Linked DNA regions of Caenorhabditis elegans. The protein of the gene in region 1 interacts with the protein of each later gene in a pairwise test. Each region holds a gene or a part of one and is shown on either strand. Other genes may lie near its edges.

Region 1 (3,755 bases):
GAAGCGCGGTGTTTCGTGCGATTTTCAAACAATGTTTGCGATTTTTGAGCGAAAGATACGGTGCCGGGTCTTGACACGACAAAAAAAATGATAAAAATTAACAGAGAAACTGAGAAAATACACGAGTGAAAAACACAATCTCATGGGAAATTTATAAAAATAAGAATTTAACAAAAGTTTGTCGTGCCGAGACCGGCTACCGTATTTTCGGCGCAATAATACCCGACAGTTCATAAGCCGGGTTTTTCAGAATGGGAGTCAAAAAAGGGTTACTGTAGCAGTAGTGTCCAATACATTCGCTTGTAAAGTACGGTACAAGGTGACCATCGGAAAGAACGGAAAATGTGAGAAGCTATTAAAATTACAATAAATCACATTTTTGAGATATCTGTTGTTTTCCATAACTCTTCATATTCATATTATTTCAAGTAAAAATCAGTTTGTCAAAATCAAAAAACAAACATCAAAAAACAAAAACTATAAAGATTCATTTTTTTGATAGTTTTTGACATTAACTACGTTGATTTTAACCGAATCTATCTAAATAAGTCAACCAGGCGAGTTTTAATGTTAAATTCAAAAAATTTAGCAAAAATGCTCGAAAAATTCAGCTGAAAATTGAAAAATCCTATTCTCCTCGAGAGACTGCGTAAATCCATCGCGACCAGCTCTTCCATTTCTAGACATGAGTTCGGAAGCCCGGGATTTGTAAAACCTGTAAATGAACCAAATCATTCTCAACCCCTCCCGTTCGAACTTCGAATGAGCTGCGTTTTCTTAAACTGAAATTCCAGAAATTACAGTCGTCTTTCAATATTGTATTCCCGATCTCTGCAAGACCCTTATCAGTCCTTCTATAAATTTCTCATTTTCTCTACCCACTCTCTCATTTTATAATTGTCTTTTCGTCGTTTCTTTCACATGTTTGTCACTTCTTTGCCCCCTTCTTCCCGCCATTCTTATCAAACACCCATCATACGCTCTCCAATACAATGTATTCTTTTTCTTCTTTTTCCAATCATTTTCCTGCTTCTTCATACTCTCTTTTTTTGTTCTTCACACACGTTTTAAGGATCATTGACAATTTGAAATCAGGAAGATCAGTTTTTATGAAGTCGGGTACAAAGAAGGATAGACTAAACTAGAATTTTGTTCTAGAAAAGTTTCAACTAGAAATTGAGATACTTTATTAAATGTTCAGATTTGAAAAATCTCTATGTTTTCCACCCTGGCATATACATATATACCGACATACGTGCCTACAGGCCAATGGCGCGCGGAATATGCCCACCAGTAATTCTACATGAGCCAGGGAGTTCTCATAGTATCTGAAATTTGAAAATGGAGGTAAAAAATTAGGCAAATTGCAACTTTCGAACAGTTTTTCGGACGAATAAAGGTTATTTTCCAATAAAACAAAAAATGCGATATATTCTGTCACCAAATTTAAATAAAAAATATCGAGAGAACATGCCACACTGGTTTGCTTTAGGTTTCCTATTCCTGCATTTCTGTAAATTAAATTATGTCTTTTCATGAGTAGGTGGTCTTCAAAGCTGCCTTGTAGGCACGTAGGTAGGCCTATCTAGGCTTAGATCTATGTAAGATCTAGTTTTTGGACATCTAATTTGAATTTAAACTTGCTCATCAAATATTCTATTCCGCTTCTTCCTACTTTTTATTATTGATTCATATTATCTAATAGAGCACAATTACATAAATATTTAGACAAAAAGTATGGTCGAAGAAATATGTCATATTTGCAACGACAAATCAACTGGTAAACACTACGGGGCAATCAGTTGTGATGGATGTAAAGGATTCTTTCGACGAAGTATTCGCAAACGATATCATTATCAATGCAGATTTGAACAAAATTGTGATGTTACCAAAAGTATGTTTATAGTTTTTAAAGTTTTTGGGCCGTTGGTTTCTGAAATTTCCAAAAGCAAGTCGGTCCTCCAATGTAATAAATATGTAATATTTCCTCTTATTTCAGATAAACGGAACGCATGTCGAGCATGTAGACTTCAAAAATGTGTAAAAGCGGGAATGAAGAGTAATGGTGAGATCATTCCAATACTTTTTTATAAAAATAGCCTGTACTATTTCAGCAATTCAAAATGAACGGGATGCAATTGGAAAACGGAAAAAGACTACGGGAGCTGAAAAAGAAGATTTGATAGATCAACTTGTTGCCGCAGAAACATTATGTCAGCAATTAAGGTCCAGTGTAATCAAGAATACATCTTCACTTGTAAGTTTGATTGGGATTAAACGCAGTGCTTCAAATTTCGTCAAGAGGGATTTCTTTCAATTTGGAAAGTTCTTGATTTTCTTTACTTAAGAAACACGGTTTAATTATGCCGGAATTTGTACCTGGTGGTTCTTTTTCCGCCCCCAGAAAAATCTGTTTTCTAGTTTCACCTCTTGATCTCAGTCAATAATCACATTGAATCCACGTGTTTTACAGGCACCATACGACTGTGGAAAAGTTAAATGGAATTATGAAGATGCGAGAGCTGCCACATTGGATGATATTGGAAAATCGATTCATCAACAATTGGTTCTTTTTATCGAATGGGCGAAGTCATTACCTCAATTCTCGTTTTTGGCTCAAGCAGATCAGGTATGATTTTTTTTCTATGAAAAATTTCAGAAAAATATTTGTTAGATGATTTTTTTTTTGATAAAATCAAAAACAACAGAGATATTATTTAGCTGTCATAGTAGCGAGTTTAATACTGAAAATACTGCAATTACTTGTTTCATACTTTCTTTTTTAAAAAATGACGACTTCTAGCAACAATTTCATAATTCCAGGCAGCTCTTCTCAAAGGCGGTGCCGCGTCAATAATTGTACTTGGAGTAGCATATCGATCGATTTGTCTGACAGTTGAAAATACAATTTGCCTTGCAAATGACACACTTCTTCCAAAAGAACATGCAACACAAGTGGGAGATATCAAGTGAGTATATTCTCATTTCATATCTGTATTCTCAGGTTTTGTACAGTCATTTCAGTTGTGTCGTCGGACGAATTATTGATGAAATTGTGAATCCAATGAGGAGGTTAAATATGGATTTAATTGAATATGTTGCACTGAAAGCTATTCTGTTTTTCAATCCAGTCGTCAGAGAAATCAACGATCAGAGTCCGGTGGAGAACGCCCGATATGCTTTTTTGAGGTCATTGCAGAGAAGGTTTATTTGACAATACTAGCTTCTATAACAAATGTAATATATTTCAGGTGTACTGACAAGGCACTTGAAAATATGGAAGACGAATCAATGGATTGCAGAAGTGGAAAGCTTTTGTTATTACTTCCATCACTTCAGGCTATTGCTCAACAATTGGTTAGTTACAATTGTTATTCAAATTAGTAATTTATGAATTTAAAGGTAGAAGATGTCCAACTTGCTCGTTTGTTCGGTCTCGTGAATGTCGATTCGTTAATGGAAGAACTTATTCTAAATGATATGAAACCTTCAGATCCACAGGTAATTTTTATTTTGAAAAGCAGAACAATGAAAGGAATATCTTAGTTATTGGCAACTTTCAAAACCTAAATCCTGAGCCCGGGGAATTTTATTTCAAACTCTTCCAAATGTGGAATATGCACAACAAATTTTGTTTAGTCTATCTAAGGAGAATAGGTCAATAAATATGCGGATTTCTTTTGTGCTTTGTGACTGTTAAGCTTATGGTGGTTTTGTGGAAGACCCTAATAAGTTCCAGAGACAATTTCAATCTC
Region 2 (3,755 bases), on another chromosome or scaffold:
GGAAATTTGTGATTTTTAATGGTTTCACAGATGTTTTATCGAAATATCAACTAAACATAGTCTCGCGACCCTATAAATCATGGCCACCCCACCTTTTCTCAACGTTTCCTTTATTTTCGCCGCGAAATTCTCCGATTTTACTTCTCCCTCCCCGATGTATGGTCCATCTGGAACACGATCTTCGTCCGATCGTCGTCTCGGTTCCAATTTTTTCGCTTTGTTCACACTAATTTTAGAATTTTTCGAATTTTTCCCGGGAATTTTCACATGCCGGCGCGATTCTTGAATAGAAGATGAGTCAGAACATGACTTTTCTGAAAGAAATTGTGACGCCACGTGTTTATTTTCTCCTGTTTTTCCCATATTTTCCCAAAAATAAAAGCTCACTCTTTTTCTCCTCACTGATAAGGGTGTTCACTTCTCGGTGTTCAAGTAATAAGGCCAGTTGTTGGTCTTCATATGCTCTGAAATTTATTTCTCACGATTTTCAGTGTATAAATAATTTTATTTTCTACCTCGCAATTTCCACATCTGTAACCGTATCCAAAAATTTTTGATTTTCTCTCAGTTTTTCGTTTATTTCATGCCTTCGCTGCCTTAATTTTGTTAAGTCTCCTCCATGTGGAATAGATTCAGAAGTCGTTGTAGTTGGCGTCTGAAATTATTTTTGGAATTTATCGATCGAAATTTGAACAATTGAGATACAATATTCTCGCTGACAGTGCTTTCTCGTGTAGTAAAGCAATAATTTCTATAAACAAAAAAATTAACATACGTTATCATAAAGTAGCTCATTAATAGTGGCTGAAACATCTCCATCATATTTCCGTAGAACATATTCAATATGTGAATTGCTTAGACTGGGAAACATAGCTTGAAAGTCCAGCATTGCCTGAATATTTTGAAAATTTGTTGCCAAATTTGATTCTAGACGTACTCTATCAAAATCCAATAGTTCTTCTTCTACCACACCAGATCGGTCTTCATAGTCATCATAATCCGTCATTATTTCGTTAGAAAAAGCTGAAAAATAGTGTTGAAAATGAAATGAGTCAGCATTATGAAGAAGAACGCTCGTACAAATATTAAACATTTTGGGTGGGCGGTCAAAAAGAATGAGACAGTGTTGTGTGTGTACAATGGTGATTGTATTATCGGTCTGCGGTGAGAGAGTTATGAAAAAATACAGGGAAAATAGGCAGAATTTGGAGTGAAATTGCTAGTAAACTCGGAGTTTTTTTTTTGAAAAACTGCAAGTTAGAGTCTCTAAAGTTCGGAAAAAAGCTTTCTCTGACATCATAAATGATTTTTGCTCTTTTTTACTTCAACATAGTGATTTGGGAAACCATACAAAAGATAAATGGCTTCAAAACAGGAACAATATTATGCATTTTCTGACGAAGCTAATTAATTGACGAGGAGAAACTCATAGACTTTTTATTCATAAAAACAACTTTCGAATAGATTTTCTGCATTTTCTGTTTTTACATAGTTGGCCAGTTTTACTTTTACTGCGGGAAAAGTTCTATACGATTTTTTTTCCTTTATTTAGTGTATCCATTGAGCTAGAAAATACGAAAATTTGCCTTATGTCCCGAATATATCTGTAAAAAAAAACAGTGTTTAATTTTTCAATGATTTATTCAATTTCGCTGAAATATAAATACAAAATCGGCGGAAGGGAATTTGAATTTTTGCACTTTCTGGCAAAATTCATGGATTTTTATAATTTCACTTTTCATACATTTTTAAACAAAAAATGAAATAATAGTTAAATAATCGAATTTTGAACTGATTTTAAAGTTTCCGAAATTTTATTTCAGGTCGTCAAGTTTTCTTCACAAAAAAATCAAAAAAAAAATCATGGAGCCGTTTCTTTTATTTTTGCAAAATTGAAAAAAATCATTAAAAATTCAGAAAAAGAAATCTATAGTTTTTTTTAACAGTTAAATTTGGTAAATTGAGGGAATTTTCAAAAAAAGTTCCTTTGCAATATCAGAAATTTCTTTTCCGACGAAATATTTCACACTCTCAAATATTTTTATCCGTTGCCAGAACTTCTTCTTCATAAAACTAATAATTCTTTAATTTCAGAACCACGAAACATGATGCCAACGTGGATACCTAACAATTTGTGCGCACAGCCGACAACGAGAAATGCTAAACCACCATCGAACGGGCATCCACAAGCGACACAACAACAATCTGCTCCGGGATCATTGGCATACCGTAATTCGAGCAACATACCGAATGGAGCAACCAACCACGTCAGACAACAGAAATGGCAGTACACTCGTTCAGGACATAGAAAGGTACGAATGATAAGAAAATATGAAAAAAAAAGTTGGAGAAAAATAAACAAAAACAAGCATTTTTAGAAGCTGAAAAATATTAAAATGCTCTTTGGTCAGTTGGAAAATTTGAAATTTTTGCATTGAATTTCTACATTGAATTTAAATTAGAAAGTAAAAATACATTAAAAAATTAAGTCATTCAATTTAATTGCAAAATTCACAAAACGTTTTCAAAAAAGTGCACAATGTTCAAATAATCAGAACATAGCACGTAATCGGGTTGATTTGCCCATTGTGCTCCCATTATCGGGAAAATAAGTTGCGTATTGCATCAAAACCACTAACTTTGTACTTTTATTAGCCTATTAAGACTACCGTGACAGAGTACTGTGTGTGTGTGCTGGAAGAAAAGATTAGTGATGTGACGTTGATTGGTAGTTTTTGAATTGGAAAAGAGAGAAACGGAAGTGTGAAAGTTTGAATAGCTCAATGAAAATGGTTGATTTGAATGAAAAAATTCAAATTTTAAACCAGAAATTGTGCTTTGTGTTTTAAGCTTGAAGGTTTGATGATTTTTGCAGATTGACACTTCATTGACGTATTTAGTTTATACCGGAACACCTCTTAGAATCGTAGTTTTTCAACGAAATTTGAATTTCTGCTAGTAGAAAAAAACTGTTCACAACTTGAACATTTCGTATGTATCCCAAAATGCGATACCCGGTCTCGAAACGACACATTTTTTGGTAAATGCAAATAAGTGTGCGCCTTTAAAGAGTACTGTAATTTTAAACTTTGCTGTGTAATTTTCATCAAAATTTTTCGATAAAATTTTTTTTAACCTCAAATTAAAAAAAAGGTTTTTTTTTAATTATGAGAAAAACTATTTAAAAAATCGAAACTGGGTACCGTATTTTTTGGCGTAAAAATCCTAAAATTTCGCTACTGGGTAATAGTTGTATTTTCGAGGTTCCACTACAAATTACCGTAATCTGAGTGTCCCCCAAATTGAATATATTTGCATTCTTCTAAAGTTTCCAGTTAAGACATCTAAAATCTAATAGAATTAATTGAATTGGTCGTCTGATTGACATTCCAGCGTGCAAGCGGAGATTGGAGAGAAAAACAATGTTTTTTTTTCAAACCGAAAATCAGAACTTTTAAACGAACAAGGAAAAATCGAAAAGGAGTGTTCAAATACAAGAATCCATCTTCCGGAAGTTTTCTTCGTGCGTTTGGCCTAGATGACCCAGATTTTTCCTTTTTTCCGGACTTGAGCTACAGTTTACTGTACTTTGACACGTATTCCTTTGGGAACCCCGAGGATTTACACTAATAATTGATGTTGATCTATCTTCTACCCGCTTTCCATCAACAAACTATTATTTTGAAATCCCGTTGTGTACCCGGGTGAATGACTGACAGAGGTGTGAGGTACTTTGTGTATTATTTATGTTTCTC
Region 3 (3,755 bases), on another chromosome or scaffold:
TTCCGCGAGCGGCGATCATCCTTCCGCTCCCGACAGGGTTGACCTCTGCGCGTCTGCGTCTTTCATCCCATTTTTCCTCGCCCGTTCTTTTCTGAGGGAGAGAGGGAGGGAGAGAGAGAGGGAGAGAGAGAGAGGGAGAGAGAGAGAGAGAAAAGACCTTCAATCAGTTTCTGTAGTAGTCCTTCTCCTTGGGATACTGAATACTAGGTCACCATTTCAATCTCTTTTTTTTCTATTTTTTGTGTTTTTTTCTTTCTCTACCCTCTTTATTGTTCTTGTTTTCTGACCGTCACTTCGCTTTGCACCCCGTTTTTGAATTTTAAACTCCTGCTAAAAGTTATAAATACGAATGTGGGAAGATCGGCTCTTTTTGTTTGGATACTGATGAAAAGTCCTATCAGCTTAAAATCATGAATAGTTTAACAGCACCTTCTCAAGCTTGAAAAAAAGTAAATGTGCAAATGCTCTGCTCAAAGCCCCGAGTTGAAACAAAGTTGTTTACAAAATTATCTTGGTTTAGGTTTTTTGTTCAAAATATCAGTAGTGCAATTACACATTGTTTATTCTACATTTTTAGATCCATAATTTTCTAAAACAATATGATAATTCTTTCTGAATCATCTTTTTTTTCAGTTAAAGGCACTTATCGAGAATTCTTCTTCCCCCCATTTATTTTGCATATCTATTGTGCCAACATGAAATTTGCATTTCTTCCCATTTCTCTTCATTTTCCTTTCATCCAAACATCCACGTTTTCTTCCCCATTGTGCAACGTGGTGCACCATGTCACAGAGAGAGATCTAATCTCCATATTTCTTTCATATAGTTTTTCTTGAGCTTTCAGTATCAATGAACTATGCTCCAAATAAATATTGGTCGGCCTAGCACATCTATGGATGGCCTTATCGGAAGGTTTCTCTCACTTATTCTCATGACTCGCCAATTCGACTTTCACTTGTGTTTCTATCTTTTCAAAATGAAATCACACACCTCTACTTTGGTCTTCGTACCGCTTATCAGTTGTTGGGAAGGGTTTTTCTCCAATAAGGAGGGGTTTAGTGACCTTTCAAGCCTTGTTGACAATTAGCCATTATAGCGTCTAGGAAAATCTAGAACTGATAACAAATAACAAAACATCTAAAATCTAGAAACAGGAACATGTTGATCTGAAAATTGAGCAAATTGATGTTTTGTGCAACTGTGATAAGTCAGAAATTTTGATCACTTTTGATAATAGTTATTCCCCCAACAAAACATTTGAAGGTCTCAAAAACAGAGGGAGTCTCCTCATTTTTGCATTTTCGGAGCCAATTTTGAGTTGCCTTCTTCCATTCCAATTCCTTTATTAAGATGCAGATCCGATGCTAATGATATGCACTATCCATACGTCTTGTGGAATATGAATGAGGAGAGGTCGAAGACTCGGAACCCACCTCTTTTTCTTTTTATTTTTTCTCCTGCAGCTTTTCTTTGCCAATTCTTTGTACACAACTATAGTAATACAATGTGCTCAATGCGTCACTCAGTGCTTCGCCCCTTACTGTCTCCTTCTATTCGTCGATTATTCATAGAGTTCTTCGTCATCCAAAAAAAGTGTTACACATCGCTGTAATAGTTCGGACCCACGCATGCTCATGGTTTTGATATTTTCCATTGTTTATTTGAAATAATACAAAAAAATATTCGATTACCCTAATAGTTTACCAAGTCATGGAACAACCCTGTTTGTGTGCAACCAGAGCATCAGCGTTCTGTTATCAGCTGCCGGCTTTTCTTCTTTTATCACTAAAAAACCATGCCTAGTTTTTTCACCTCTCGACCCTATTCGTCTCGGTCAGGAATCTTTCTTATCTCTAGAATTTCTCCCTCTCTTCCATCACGAACTTGAAACGCGCCATTCCTATTCCTCTACCCCATCATTCTTGCAATCATTCCTCTCGTGGAAATGGGCTCGTTCGCTGAGTCGGCTGCTCTTCTGCAGGCATCGATGTCTCTTTCTCCAACACCTTCTATAATTAACAACAATAATACTGTCGATTATTCTCTATCACTCCAGATGCTCGCGGCTCCGAACGCCGTCTCATTGGCCTCTGTCAACGGTTCTGCTTCACTTCTAACTGCAACAACTGCTGGAATGAAGGCGAATAATAATTCAAATGAGAAATTACCAAGACAACAATGTTACCTGTGTGATTTGCCACGCTGGCCGTGGGCAATCATAAATGATTATATTGAGCCAGTTTGCAGAGGATGCGTCAATTATGAAGGATCAGACAGGTTTGTTTGGAAATAATGATGATGAAAATTCCTTTCGATTTTAAAATTTTCCAAAGTGAAAGTCACAAGTTTTCTTATATTGATACAGGACATGAAAATTTGACACCCTTTTTCTTATAAGACTGCAAGCTAAAAGTTTGTTCTGTAATAGATTTCCTAAAGTTTTTAAAGAATTTTTTTTTTGAAAAAAATTAGAAAAAGAACATATTTTTTTGACGATTTTTCTGCCGAAATTTTTTATAAATTGCAGGACTTCACGATCTTATAGTTTTAAAAAGGTTTCAAGACCAATTGAACTTTTTTTGTTTTTTGTCACCAAATATCTTTTTCTGTTTCAGAATTGAACTCGTACTTGAAGAAACACGCCAACAAAAGAAACTCCAAGGAGTTGGAATCAGTGATCCACAGAATGCAAAGACATCCCTCCGAGATATTACACTTACACAACAACAACCCCTTCAAACATTACCAGTCACTTCTGCTAATGGAATCGGAAGGATAAGCCCACAAAGGACACCTCAGCCAACGGTACTTCCCACGTCCCCATTCCATGTGCCAACTATGAACAACTTGGAGGTAAACATATAAAATTGAAAACTGCAATAGTTTACAAATTTATTTTCAGCAAGTTCTGACCCATCAACGACTTCTGCAAATGACACAAGCCAATCCTCGGGCGGTTGACGATCTTATTCAACAGTCTCTTCGAAGCTTGGGCCCAAATTCTCATCTCTTGGCTCCATTCATGATGAGCATGCTTCCAAGCACAACTTATTCAAATCCAAGAAAACGTGAATCTGACGAAGAGCAGAAGCCTGAAATATATGGAAAAGTGCAGAGAGGTATGTCAGTTAGAATTTAAAATTGACATCGTCCCAAAAAACCGGTTGTTGCGTAAAGTAGTAGTGCCCCCTTCTCTCTCTCCGATTAGCCCGTGTATCGTCTCTCTGTCACCCTCTCGAATTGCGTAATACCGATAGACCCGACAGAAAACCAGCCGAATTTAGAAGAATTAGAAGAAAAGAGTAGCGAGTTGAATGAGTGACCTCGAGAGAAATAAAGGGCTAGATATGGGGTCAACACTTTGAAAACGGAACCGGTTTTAGAGGATGGTAGTGTAGTTGGTTGTGGCGTCGTTGTCGGCGCCTGGCACCCAGGGTCATCACCCCCTCATCATCATCATCTTCTATTTTTCAGGCGATGCCCAAACGACAACTGCCTCGCCAACCTCAACTCATTCACCAGACCATCCGGGAGTTAAGGATCGGAGAGGGATCGCCCCAATTGAGAGAGTTTTGAGATGTACACTGTGCAATGAACGTCTAGAAGACACCCACTTTGTACAATGCCCAACAGTCAGCATTCACAAGTTTTGCTTCCCATGCTCGCGGAGCAGCATCAAGGATCAATGCAAGAGCAGTGATATGTACTGCCCATCAGGCGATAAATGTCCATTAGTCGGATCAGCAATGCCATGG

What was found.
Region 2: the proteins of nhr-69 (region 1) and mpk-1 interact in a two-hybrid assay, tested with the Caenorhabditis elegans proteins (3 studies listed by BioGRID).
Region 3: the proteins of nhr-69 (region 1) and ifbp-1 interact in a two-hybrid assay, tested with the Caenorhabditis elegans proteins (2 studies listed by BioGRID).

Annotation. Positions count from the first base shown.
Region 1 is NC_003279.8:9,879,476-9,883,230, reverse strand, and holds the start of nhr-69 (Nuclear hormone receptor family member nhr-69), read left to right. Parts: upstream 1-1,726; 5' UTR 1,727-1,737; coding exon 1,738-1,894; intron 1,895-1,999; coding exon 2,000-2,065; intron 2,066-2,114; coding exon 2,115-2,257; intron 2,258-2,473; coding exon 2,474-2,629; intron 2,630-2,823; coding exon 2,824-2,969; intron 2,970-3,024; coding exon 3,025-3,204; intron 3,205-3,251; coding exon 3,252-3,357; intron 3,358-3,402; coding exon 3,403-3,501; intron 3,502-3,755. UniProt on the Caenorhabditis elegans protein: Orphan nuclear receptor which, in cooperation with R-SMAD daf-8, modulates the Insulin/IGF-1-like signaling (IIS) pathway, perhaps by regulating expression of the potassium channel exp-2, which in turn modulates the secretion of insulin-like peptide daf-28.
Region 2 is NC_003281.10:4,226,448-4,230,202, reverse strand, and holds the start of mpk-1 (Mitogen-activated protein kinase mpk-1), read left to right. Parts: upstream 1-2,108; coding exon 2,109-2,312; intron 2,313-3,755. Other genes in the region: F43C1.5 (uncharacterized protein), read right to left, coding at 93-314, 388-464, 516-655, 776-892, 938-1,006. UniProt on the Caenorhabditis elegans protein: Functions in let-60 Ras signaling pathway; acts downstream of lin-45 raf kinase, but before the lin-1 gene product in controlling vulval cell differentiation. Plays a negative role in proximal germline proliferation in the mitotic zone.
Region 3 is NC_003283.11:13,371,089-13,374,843, reverse strand, and holds the start of ifbp-1 (Interferon regulatory factor 2-binding protein 1 & 2 zinc finger domain-containing protein), read left to right. Parts: upstream 1-1,823; 5' UTR 1,824-1,945; coding exon 1,946-2,277; intron 2,278-2,615; coding exon 2,616-2,853; intron 2,854-2,902; coding exon 2,903-3,119; intron 3,120-3,474; coding exon 3,475-3,755.